3 linked regions of the Canis lupus familiaris genome follow. The protein of the gene in region 3 purifies or fractionates together with the protein of the main gene of each other region. This does not show direct contact. Links are inferred from orthologs where the notes say so. Each region holds a gene or a part of one and is shown on either strand. Other genes may lie near its edges. The genes, in order: CTNND1, JUP and CDH5.

What was found.
Region 1: the proteins of CDH5 (region 3) and CTNND1 purify together in Homo sapiens (affinity purification with western blotting; 3 studies listed by BioGRID and IntAct, counting the BioPlex papers as one, with this or other methods). This does not show direct contact. The link is inferred for Canis lupus familiaris from reciprocal best matches to the Homo sapiens genes CDH5 and CTNND1.
Region 2: the proteins of CDH5 (region 3) and JUP purify together in Homo sapiens (affinity purification with western blotting; 3 studies listed by BioGRID and IntAct, with this or other methods). This does not show direct contact. The link is inferred for Canis lupus familiaris from reciprocal best matches to the Homo sapiens genes CDH5 and JUP.

Annotation. Positions count from the first base shown.
Region 1 is NC_049239.1:38,935,645-38,940,011, reverse strand, and holds the start of CTNND1 (catenin delta-1), read left to right. Parts: upstream 1-1,517; 5' UTR 1,518-1,704; intron 1,705-4,367. UniProt on the Homo sapiens protein: Key regulator of cell-cell adhesion that associates with and regulates the cell adhesion properties of both C-, E- and N-cadherins, being critical for their surface stability.
Region 2 is NC_049230.1:20,915,411-20,919,008, forward strand, and holds part of JUP (junction plakoglobin), read left to right. Parts: intron 1-996; 5' UTR 997-1,004; coding exon 1,005-1,209; intron 1,210-2,886; coding exon 2,887-3,146; intron 3,147-3,367; coding exon 3,368-3,598. UniProt on the Homo sapiens protein: Common junctional plaque protein. The membrane-associated plaques are architectural elements in an important strategic position to influence the arrangement and function of both the cytoskeleton and the cells within the tissue.
Region 3 is NC_049226.1:83,446,688-83,450,740, reverse strand, and holds the start of CDH5 (cadherin-5), read left to right. Parts: upstream 1-1,240; 5' UTR 1,241-1,399; intron 1,400-4,053. UniProt on the Homo sapiens protein: Cadherins are calcium-dependent cell adhesion proteins. They preferentially interact with themselves in a homophilic manner in connecting cells; cadherins may thus contribute to the sorting of heterogeneous cell types.

The sequences.
Region 1 (4,367 bases), on a different chromosome or scaffold from region 3:
ACCCCCACACTCCCCGCACAGCTGCTGTTCCTTTCCTGACATGCAGTTTTCTGTCAGGTGGCACCGAGGATCTGAACAGCTCCCGTCAAACTATCAGGAAAGAAGAGAATGGAAAGGTTAATGAAGAAAGGGTAGGCTCAATTCCAATTTCAGCCAGAGAAGGGGGGGTGGGGGCAGAGGATGGCTCTCGCGAGGCCCCACACATAGGCTCCGGGGAAGCTTCCCAACCCACCAGCAGCCGGCCTGGCCCCGAGACCCGACCTGGACGAGCTGTGCAGTCGGAGCTGCGCTTGGCGACCTCTCGGTGCTTGGGTCCTCTGCCCAGCCTGCCTTGCTTCCTCCCCAAGCCCAGCCTCGCGCGGGGAGGTTTAGCAAAGCAGCGCAGGTGGGCCAACGGCCTGAGGGTCTCCCCGTCCAGAGCCGAGGAATCGGGGCTGGCGGAGAAAGCTGGGCTTCAGGGCAGGCCCTGCAATGCTGGGCGTCCCGTCCCGCACGCTCCGGGCGCCCCGGCCCAACTCCTTTCAAGAGAGACCTCTCGGCGCGAAGGTTTCTGGGAATGGAGCGTGGGGACCCCGGAGGCCCGAATTCAGGGCTCGCGGGCACCACCAGCCAAGGCCGCACGGGCTTTGCAGCCACCCCCTGGCGCCCTCGTACCGCCGCGGGCCCCGCCAGCCGCCTGCACCGGGAGGCGGTGACAGCGAGGGCCTGAGGCCACGCGGCCCGCGCCACACAGCTCGCGCCGCCGTCCTCGCGCACGGCGCGTCGCGGGGCCCGACGTCCTTCCTCCTCCCCCAGCCCCCCTGCTGACGTCTGCCCGAACACGTCATCCCCATTGGCCGAAGGCTCGTCGGACGGCCAATCACAGGGGCCGCAGCACTTTGGGCGGGAGGCTAAGTCTCGAGCGACTTGAAGGCCGCGCTAAGACGGGCTGCGAGAGGTAGGCGGGCGGGCGGGCCTGCCCGGACGGGTCCTCCCGGGGCTGCCCTCTCCCTCGGCGCCCGACGAAACCCCGGTGAGAAGCGGGCGAGGATGCCCCGTAGGGCGGGCTCCCGGGCGGCTGCAGGACACCACTGCCTTCCCTTTGAGGAGGCTGCCAGTAAGTGGCCCTGGCCTGTGAGAGCGCTCCAGGCTCCCCGGGGGGCTCCCCTTGCGCCTCGGTCGGGCCTCTCCGCTCTCGAAAGCTCCTCAGGCTACGGATGTTCGCCAGCGAGGCCTTGGGGTTAGTGCCTGGGTGTAGGCATTTCAGAGATTCCAGTCCCCCCTAAATCTCCGAGACCGGGCGTGACCGAGGGGGTTGCAGTACTTCCCGTGCGGAGCGGCCTCCGGTGTCCTTCCAGGGATGATCTAGTTAGTGCACTTCCTGACTGGAAACAACTATTTTCAGGGGTGAGGTTAAAAAAAAAAAAAAAAAAAAAAAAAAAGTAAGTGATTTCAGGATTAAACATTTAGAGAGAATGTCAGCCCACATGACATGACAATGAACCCGGACATTGGTTCTTACCCGTTGTATGTGTTAGGACCTGGGGCCTGGCTCCCGTGAGATGCCCCGCCACGGCTCTCTAGACGAAGATGGTCAAGGCCAAAGCCACCGGGGATGGAGTGCGGTGAACTAAAGCGGGGCAGCTGCCACTGAGGCCAACGGGAGGCAGAGCCGAAGATGCTCGGGAGAAGGGGAACCTGCACAGAACGGACCAGAGTGCTGAGGTGAGCAGTGCAATGCGCTCAAATAGGTCTCTGTTGGTATCTAACGTCTTTTCCAAGAGGCTTTGAGGGGTATGTCGATGATACTACAATTAACTATGTTTTTAAGATATTTTATTTATTCATGAGCGACATCCAGAGAGGGGCAGAGACACAGGCAGAGGGAGGAGTAGGCTCCCTGCGGGGACCCCAATGTGGGACTCGATCCCAGGACCCCCGGATCACGACCTGAGCCTAAGGCAGACGCTCAACCGCTCAGCCACCCAGGCGTCACTGTAATAAATTATTTTTAAAGAATTTGAGAAGGTTGACTTAAATATGGGAGGCGGGGTGCATTTCCAAGTCAGGTAATAATTTTCTAGGCTTCTGTTCTCAACGTGGAAAAAAGATCAAGGAGCAGAAGACATTTTCGGCTGCAGTTAATGTTTTGAAGGGGAAGCAGTTTGTGAAAGGACGTAAAAGCAGAAGGAGGACACACGCAAGCAAAAAAAAAAAAGGCAGAGCAGTGTTTATGGCATCTGTCATAAGAAAAATAGAAATATTATATCCCCCCCATGAATTTATTGTTATTAGGATTATATTAATTTTCAAGAAATAGAGAGGACTCACTTCTTGGTTTCTTTCTTTCATTCATTCTTTCTTTTTTAAAAAAGCTTTTATTTATTTATTCATGAGAGACAGAGAGAGAGAGAGAGGCAGAGACACAGGCAGAGGGAGAAGCAGGTTCCTCGCAGGGAGCCCGATGCGGAACTCAGTGTCGGATCCTGGAATCACACCCTGAGCCACCCAGAGACCCTTCTTTTCTTTTCTTTTCTTTTCTTTTCTTTCTCTTTTCTTTTCTTTTCTTTTCTTTCTTTTCTTTTCTTTCTTTTCTTTTCTTTTCTTTCTTTTCTTCTTTTCTTTTCTTTAAGATTTTTAATTTATTCATTTGAGAGAATGACAGAGAGCACAAGCAGGAGGAGATAGAGAGGGAGAGGGAGAAGCAGACTCCCTGCTGAACAGGGAGCCGGATGTGGGGCTTGATCCCAGGACCTGGAGATCATGACCTGAGCTGAAGGCAGGTGCTTAACCATCTGAGCCACCCAGGTGCTCCCCTTTTCTTTTTTTTTTTTTTTAATTCAACACCATTTAGATAAATCTTGTGATAGTGGAATTTCTAAAGGGGAAGATAAATGGCCATCCTACCAAGGGCTTTAAAAATGACAACATTCGATGGTAATGTGTAGCCACCAGAGGGTAGAAACGAGTAAAAATATTTTGTCTTCCTTTGTATGGATAGCCAGTGCTTTTTGAAGTTGATTTTTTTTTTTCCCCCGTTTCTTCTCCTTGGCATTTATGGTTTTGGCTATTTTAGGAGTGGAGACAGCACAGCACTCAGCCCTACATGATAATTTTAATATTTCTTTTATTTTTATTTTATTACTTTATTTTTAATATTTCTTTTTTTTTCTTTTTTGAATTCAATATTATTTCCCAACTCTTCCCTAATTTTTTACTATTTTATCGTATCTTTGTATGTTAAGCATGTGATGGATGTTGGAGGGGAGATAAAGTTTGAGAGTTGAAAACTGAGCACTGAATGTAACATTCATTCCGTTTGTTAAAAACAAAACAAAATCAAAGAAGGGACGCCTGGGTGGCTTGGTGGTTCAGGGTCTGTCTTTGGCTCAGGTCATGATTCTGAGGTCCTGGGATGGGGTCCCCATTGGGCTCCCCGCAGGGAGCCTGCTTCTCCCTCTGCCCATGTCTCTGCCTCTCTCTCTCTCTCTCTCTGTGTGTCTCTTACGAATAAATAAATCTTAAAAAAAAAAAAAACAGGAAAGAAAAAAAACCCACCTTGAAATAAAAAAACACCTTATTGGGGATCCTTGGGTGGCTCAGCGGTTTAGTGCTGCCTTCAGCCCAGGGTGTGATTGATCCTGGAGAGCCAGGATCGAGTCCCACATCGGGCTCCTGGCATGGGGCCTGCTTCTCCCTCTGCCTGTGTCTCTGCCTCTCTCTCTCCCCCACCTTATATCTCTAAACATATCCTTAATCTGTTGACTTCTCTCTATTTTTACTGCTACTACTGTAGTTAACTCCATATTACTGCAACTTGACCTTCAAACTAATTTCCTTGCTTTCACCCTTGCGCCCTCTTTTATCCATTTGTCATCTAAGATCTTTTCAAAATCTGAGTTAGATCATGTCACTCTGCTGTTGAAAACACTCACAGACTTCCTTCTACCTGAAAATAGTTTAATCAAATCTCTAACCTGTGGAATTCTTCATATTTCTACCATTCCCTCCCTCATTTTGATACTGTGCTGGATCCCACAAGTTTCAGCCTCACACTTGGGGGCTTTGGCATTAGTAGTTACCATTGCTCCTATATTCCTTTTTTTTTTTTTTTTTTTTTTTTTTTTTTTTTTTTTTTTAAATTTTTATTTATTTATGATAGTCACAGAGAGAGAGAGGTGCAGAGACACAGGCAGAGGGAGAAGCAGGCTCCATGCACCGGGAGCCCGATGTGGGATTCGATCCCGGGTCTCCAGGATCGCGCCCTGGGCCAAAGGCAGGCGCCAAACCACTGCGCCACCCAGGGATCCCCTGCTCCTATATTCCTATGTTGGCTGCTTCTTCCCATTCATATTTCAACTTAAATGCCAAAGTCTCTGGAGAGTTTG
Region 2 (3,598 bases), on a different chromosome or scaffold from region 3:
ACCACCCTGGTACACAGTACGGCCCAGCAATTCATGCACCTCAAGTGCCCCCACGTCTCTGCAGAGAGATGGAGGGGTGCCTGAATAGCAGCAACCCCTCCTGAGGCCTGCCTCACCCCTTATCTTAGCCTGGGTTCTACAAAGACAGGAAGTGGGAACCCCCCACTGAGGGAGAGGCACCGCTGATAGGTGGCCGGCCACCAACACCCAGCACCCACTATGTACCTGGCACCCGGCTGGGTCCTTTACAAATCTGGCCTTCATAACAACCTGCGGGGGGGGGGGTGGTGGTGGTGGTGGTGTTATCCATATTTTGCAAATGAGGGTTGGGTTCTGCAGAGAAGTGAATTGGTCCAGTCATATGTGGCTGGTATTTCGAACTGGTCGATGGGGCTCAGAATTCCAGAAAAGGCTTCTAAGACCTGGGGTGCCGGAGAGACAGGGATCTTAGAGCTTGGGCCTCTGGGGTCACTTGTGATCCTGCCCCATCTTCAGGAAAGATCCTTGAGATCCTGGAGTCTCCAAGGGAGCCTCTGACTGCTCCTAGCAGCCTCCAGGGCTCTCCAGAGAAACCCGTCTGACTGCTTCCCTGCCCCACCCAGTTTCCTGTCCGATGCTTGGGGTGTAGCTGCCTCACCATAGACTTTCCCAGAGAGCCCTAGTGGATGGGGGGGGGTGGGTCTGTGGGATCCCAGAACCTGCTGGAGGCCCTGGGTACCTTTTGCTCAGAGAGTGTGGGCCTGGGGAGAGCAAGATGAGCAAGCCCAGGGCTAGGTTGGGGCATCTGGCTCTTTACTGCCCCACGCCCCCTGGGGTGTGCTCCATCCTGGGCTGGAGGTAAGCGATCTAAGCCCTGGACTCACCCTAGGGTATCCCACCCCACGGTGGGGATTCCCTCCCTGGGCCTGGGAATGGGCTGAAGCCGGGGCTGGGCCAGATGATGATGGGCTGCCTCACTGGAGCCAGCTAATTTCCTGCCTTCCTTTGTGTCCCCAGCAGCCATCATGGAAGTGATGAACCTGATTGAACAACCCATCAAAGTGACTGAGTGGCAACAGACATACACCTATGACTCTGGCATTCACTCGGGTGCCAACACCTGTGTGCCCTCGGTCAGCAGCAAGGGCATCATGGAAGAGGATGAGGCCTGCGGGCGTCAGTACACGCTCAAGAAGACCACCACCTATACCCAGGTGCCCCAGAGCCAAGGTCAGGAGCCCCGGGGACTCGTTCAGGGAAACTATTCCATGGAAATACTTCAGCAGAAAACCAGTCTGGGGCCTGGAGGAAGGTCAGGGCAAAAGGAGGCAGACAATGGGAGCTCCTGTCTGAGGGAGGAGGCACAGCTACTTCAGGGTTGCCCCCATCTGAGAGGGCGGCAGATTCCTCTTCCTTGAACTTCTCGTATGGAGGGAGAAGCAAAGTCTGAAGGCAGGGTCCTTACCCTCGATGAGCTTACAGTGTAATGACAAGGTGTCACTGTTGCCCTCAAGAGGCCCATGGACGATTGGGGAAGATGGTCCTTTTGCTCCAGGGGCCCCAAGTTTGACGGGGAGGCAGGGCTCCTGACGAGGGTAGGAGGAGACCTACAGGTAGGTTGTGGCCAGGTGGCAGAGTGACGACCCAGTTCGGGCTCCCAGCTCTGGGCCTCTGGCAGCAGGGGATGCCTCACCAGCTAGGGCGCTGGCCTCTCTGGGGGAGAAGGGTATCCGAGCCCTAGGACTGCTGTCCACGGGTGCCTCCCGGGCCCCGAACACTGAACAGGATGAGCTGTGGGAGCTGGGAAAGGTATGGGGCGGGCTGTGACAGGTGGAGGCCCTTCAGAACTCAGCCTCCGCCCGGGGCTCTCCTCCCTGACAGCAGGCAGGGAGAACCAGGCATTGTGTTGGTAGCTAAAAGTACAGCATTCCAGGTGGGAAAGCTGTGTGGGTGTCTCCTCCTTCCTGACTAATTGGAGGGTGGAACCTCTGCCTCTTTCTCCTCAGGGCATCGGGACACTTGCCAGGGCCAGGCTGCCTGGGAAGTTTGGGCACCTATTTGTGGGGCTCCTGGACCCACCCAGGGGGTGGAACCCGGAGTCTTAGCTAAGAACCCACCTCCTGCCTTCTGAAACCCACACTCCCACCTTTCCCTCTGATCTGCTGTATGATACTGGGTAGCCCTCTGGGCCTCTATTTGCTTGCCTCTATAATGGGAGAGTTGCCTCCTTTGGAGATGATGAGGATATAATTAGAATCATGAGATCTCAAAGAAAGGAGACCTGGGTTGTCTGCTGCTACCCCAACCTGATTGTTAAGGGAGGGGCATAGGGTTGGGGTTTGGGCTCTGGAGTCAGCCTGTCTGAGTTCAGACCCCAGCTTGGGCTTCTAGGAAAACAACAACAACAACAAAACCAAACAACTCTCTGGGCTTCAGTTTCCCCATCTGTAAAATGGAGATAGTAATAGTATTTATCTTTTAGGGTTATTATGAGATTAAATGAGAAAATATAAGAAAAACGTTTAATTCACTGCTAAGCACTTTGTAAGTGGTCAAAAATTTTTAACTGTTCCCATGATAGTAATCTTCACTAACACTTTTGTAGTGATGTGTGTAGTACATCCTTTCTTTTCAGAGCAAATTACAACTATTATCTCATTTAATTCCCTATAAAAATTCCCTGTGACGGACAGAACAGGTGGTGCCCCATTTTACAGCTGACATGACGAGGTGGTGGTGACCTCCCCCGGTTAGAGGCAGAATCACAAGTGGTGCTGCTGGGGCTTTGGTCGGGGTGGGAGCCAGCCCAGAGAGCCCGGTCTACAAGGCCTGCCCTGCCCCCTGTGTCCCCCCCACCCCTGCCCATCCTGCCACTCAGTCCCTCCCCGTTGACACCCCCCCATCCAGGTGACCTGGAGTACCAAATGTCCACGACAGCCAGAGCCAAGCGGGTACGGGAGGCCATGTGTCCTGGCGTGACAGGCGAAGACAGCTCGCTGCTACTGGCCACCCAGGTGGAAGGGCAGACCACCAACCTGCAGCGGCTGGCCGAGCCGTCCCAGCTGCTCAAGTCAGCCATCGTACATCTCATCAACTACCAGGACGACGCCGAGCTGGCCACCCGGGCCCTGCCTGAACTCACCAAACTGCTCAACGACGAGGACCCGGTCCGTGGGGGGCCTGGCCAGGGTGGGGGCAGGGCAGAGAGGGGAGAGGTCAGGTGTCCGCAGGGGCCGGCCCTACGCAGGGCCCCATCAGCAGGGAGAGTCTGAGCTGGGTCCCTCTGAACTTTGTGGAGGGGGTCACTTGCCCTCCTCCCCCCATCTCACGGTGGCAGCCAGCCCGGCCCCTCTGCTCACTTTTTCCCATCCCTCCCCGTCCCCCTCAGGTGGTGGTGACCAAGGCAGCCATGATCGTGAACCAGCTGTCCAAGAAAGAGGCGTCACGGCGGGCGCTGATGGGCTCGCCCCAGCTGGTGGCAGCCGTGGTGCGTACTATGCAGAACACCAGTGACCTGGACACAGCCCGCTGCACCACCAGCATCCTGCACAACCTCTCCCACCACCGTGAGGGGCTGCTTGCCATCTTCAAGTCGGGCGGCATCCCTGCCCTGGTCCGC
Region 3 (4,053 bases):
GGGAGTCTGCTTCTCCCTCTCCCTCCGCTGCTCCCCCTGCCTGTGCTGGCTCATGCACACACATGTACTCTCTCTTGTCAAATAAATAAAATCTTTAAAATAAATAGATAAACCAAAAATAAATAAAGCCATCTCAAACTCAACGTGCCTGAAACAGAGAAATCCTGAGCTCCCCTTCCCAAAAAATATTCTCCTACTCTGTCCCCCATCTCCGTACTCACATCTACAGATTTACTGAGTGCTCCTGGGCAAGATGCTTCCCCTCAGGTCTCTGTTGGTTCAGTCGTATAAAGGAACAAGTTTGGGACTTCCCAACCACTCACCCATGGGAAGAGGCAACCATTCAGAGGACGGATTCCCATTGCTCACGCTGGGAGAGTCCACATCAGTTGAGCTGGAACAGGGCCCCAGGATCTGCAGTTTCTAAAAGCTCCTCCTAGGACTCAAAATTCACAGAATCTGAGCCCATCCTACCCCCAGCTGCTTGGTTCTGATGGACTGATCCCACCTTCAGCTTCATTCTAACTCTTGTTAATCTCAACCACCATGTGAGGCTGAGGCTCTGATTATCCCCACTTACAGATGAGGGAACCGGGCAATGGGGGGACATGACTGGCTCCGCAGTCACAACAGAAGCAGAGCTAGGGCGCTTGACTCCACTTGATATTCCCAAACTCAAATGCCCCCACCTCCAAACCCTGGCTGCTACCTTAGAGCTAGAACCCATGCCCCCCTCCATCAGGGAGAGGCCAACCTGGCTGGCCCTCCGGAGCTAAGAGCTGGTTTCCCATCTCCCACCCACCCCACCCCCAAAGGCCCTGAAGCCTCCCCATCACCCGCAGTCTGCCGCCCTTCCAGCATGTCACGGGTCACCTGGGAAAATCTGGCTCCTGGCCCGGGCTGACCCAGGCTGGACTTCTGGCTCTGCTACCCCCTGGCTGGGTAGATGAGCACTTGGAGACTCTCAGTGCTCTGAGTTATCACAGGGGGTGATGACACCTGCCCTCAGAGTTACAAGGAGGATGAACTAAGGACTGTGGTGAGTGCTGGGCCCAGGGTTGGGGCCTGGGGTTGGGGTCTGAGTTGGGCGTCCCGGGTCGGATCCAGGCCTGGGCCTCTGTGAGGACAGCCTGGCGGGGCCGAGGCAGCCGCCCACCACAGGGCCTGCCTATCTGCAGCCAGCCCGGCCCTCACAAAGGAACAATAACAGGAAACCATCCCAGGGGGAAGTGGGCCAGGGCCAGCTGGAAAACCTGAAGGGGCGGCAGCCAGGCCTCCCTAGTCGGCCGGGTGTGGCTCCCCTCAGAAGCTATCGGCTGAGCTCCACAGAGCTCCACACCAGCTCAGCCCCAGCCGGACCGTCAGAGGGAACGAGGACACCTCTGAGCCCGCGAGCACGGTGAGTGAGGAATCCCCGCACCCCATTCCACCCCAGACTCGGGGCATGTGCCCACGCTGAGAGGATGTCTGGCTTCCCGGTATGGAAAGTGGCCGTCGTCAGGGCCCCAGGCAAGAGCCATTCTTGGGGGGCAGACCATGGCTCAAAGCAGGGCTGGGAAAGCGCACCTAGCGGCGGTGCCATAGACACAGACGGGCATTCTCAGGATCAAGGGCTAACGATGTGGCTCTTCCACATGTAGACTCTCCACCCCTGTGTGACTGGAAGGCCCAGTGGCTTCCATCGGTGCCATGATCAGAGAGGGCGAGAGTCTGTCTGAGGTGCCAGCACACCAGAGGTAGAGGACCAACCCCAGGCCTAGTCTCCCTAGGGTGGCCCTCCTCCATGGCCTGACATCATCCCTCCTGCCAAAGTTGTGAGCTGGCATCAGGAGAGGAGCCCTGGAAGGGGAGCTCTGAGCCCTGGGCCCTCTCTGTCAGCCAGTACCCCCACTGTTAGAATAGGCAAGCCGAGGCTAGGATCCGGGCACCTGAGGCCCTACGGATCCCTCCCCTCCCTGCCCTGGACACTGCAGGGGCCACGTTTGAGCTATGGGAGCCTATGGGAGCCTACAGGAGTCTATAGGAGCCTATGGAAGCCTACAGGAGCCTATGGGAGCCTATGGGAGCCTACGGGAGCCTACAGGGGCCTACAGGAGCCTATGGGAGCCTACAGGAGCCTATAGGAGCCTATGGGAGCGTACGGGAGCCTACGGGAGCCTATGGGAGCCTACGGGAGCTTATGGGAGCCTACAGGAGCCTACAGGACCATGGGAGCTACAGTGAGGAAGGCAGCCCACCTGGATGCCCCAAGGTTGGGACCTCACAGGCCTCATATTTTAGGGAAGTCCCCCCAAAAGACTTGAAAGCAAGCAGTTTAGGGTGAGATCCACAGATCTAGCTCCTTCCCATGCTGCTTTGGGAAAATTACTCAGCACCTCCAAACCTCTGTGTGCTTGTCTGAACAATGGGACAGGGACTCATGCCAGCCATCATGGAAACTGGAGGTGATCAGGATAAAAGGGTCTAACTGATGGAGCTCATGATTCCACTACTGCCAATGAATCCATAAGTTCGATGCGTCCTTTCTCTGTTCCTCAAGGGAGGCAACTGAGATTGGGCAAAGAAAGAGCAAGAGTGGGGATCTGAGCCAGGATCAGGACCCCAAAGCCCAGATCCCAGACCCTTCTCAGCACCAAGGAGCTCCTCCATGTCTCAGCATTCTCATCTTTAAACCAGAGGAAAATAGTCTTCACGAGTCCATTAAAGGAGGCAATGTACACACCAGGACTGGCGCCAGGAAGGGCTCACAGAAGGGGGATCTTCAAGAAATCACAGCTGAATTTACCCACTCCCCCAGAGCCATAAATGTCGTAACGTTTTTGACCCTGGGTCAGTCAGTCCCCAGTGGGTGGAGGTGGGTGCAACAGAGAGGATGTGGACTCAACCCTTCTCCTGGTAGGCACTCCTCACCAAGCTACCCCATGGATGATGCTGCTGTGTGAGGGGGACAGATGGGATCCCACAAGAGATGAAGGGCTCCACAGAGGCAGGAAGCCTGGGTAGCTCAGAGGACTCATGAAGGCTGGTGTGGCCACAGGGGACACTGGAGGCCATGAGTGCCAGGACCAGGGCCTCTGGCTCACCTTCGGGTGGTGGGGAGCAGCGGAGACCAGCCACCTTTGGGCCCTAGCCTGGAGGGCAGCGGGTAACCTGCAAGGGACCCACGAGCTGCTGAGCCCCCGGGCAGCCCTGCCAATTCCATTGTAAGGCAGCAGGGGAGGCGTCCACTGGCCTTGCAGGGGTTAAGCTGTCCACCCCACAGTTTCAACCTGACCAATTGTGCTGCGAAACAAGGGCCGGACATGGGGGCAGGAAACCAGAGGGGCCACACGGATTTTCTCTCAAAGTTGGCTGACTCACAGCCCTGCTGCTGCTGCTGCCTTGGGGACACAAGGTGAACACAGTGGCCACTCGCTCTAGAAAAATCTTCGGTTTCTTGCCTACAGGGACCCATCCCTGCTACTGCCAGCACCTCTCTCCACCTCCACCCCCCCGCCACCCGGCATCCTTGAAGCTACTAAAACAATTCCTATTTGACAAAGGGGACCAGGGAGCTAAGAGAGATCAAGCAACCAGTCCCAGGTTACACAGAAAGCGTGAGATGGAAGCAAAATAGGAGTGAGGCCAGCCCCTCTGACCCACAGTCCCACCACACTCCAGAGTGAAGCTCGGAGAGAGGATAAGTCAGGGAGGGTTAAACCTGACCATTTAAGCCACACAATCAGGCAGGAGGACAAGCCAGGGGCCTAAAGATCCTGGAAGGAATGTTCTAGGAGACAGGTTCTACCCTGAGGAGCTTAGCTTCTGGCTAGAGGATACTAAAAAGTCCATCCTAACCCAAGTCCCAGATGTTGGATGGAAAATTTTCGAAAGGCTTCCTGGAGGAGGAATATGGAGAGGTCTTAGGTCTGCTCTCCGACCTTCAGTCTTCTAACCTCTCAAGGGCAAGGCATGGACCAAATGTTCCCTAAACTCATTCAGGGACCTCCAGATTGTCTGCCTTGGGACACAGTAAGAGTCAGATCCTGGCAGGCACAGGCACTGGGAGGAGGG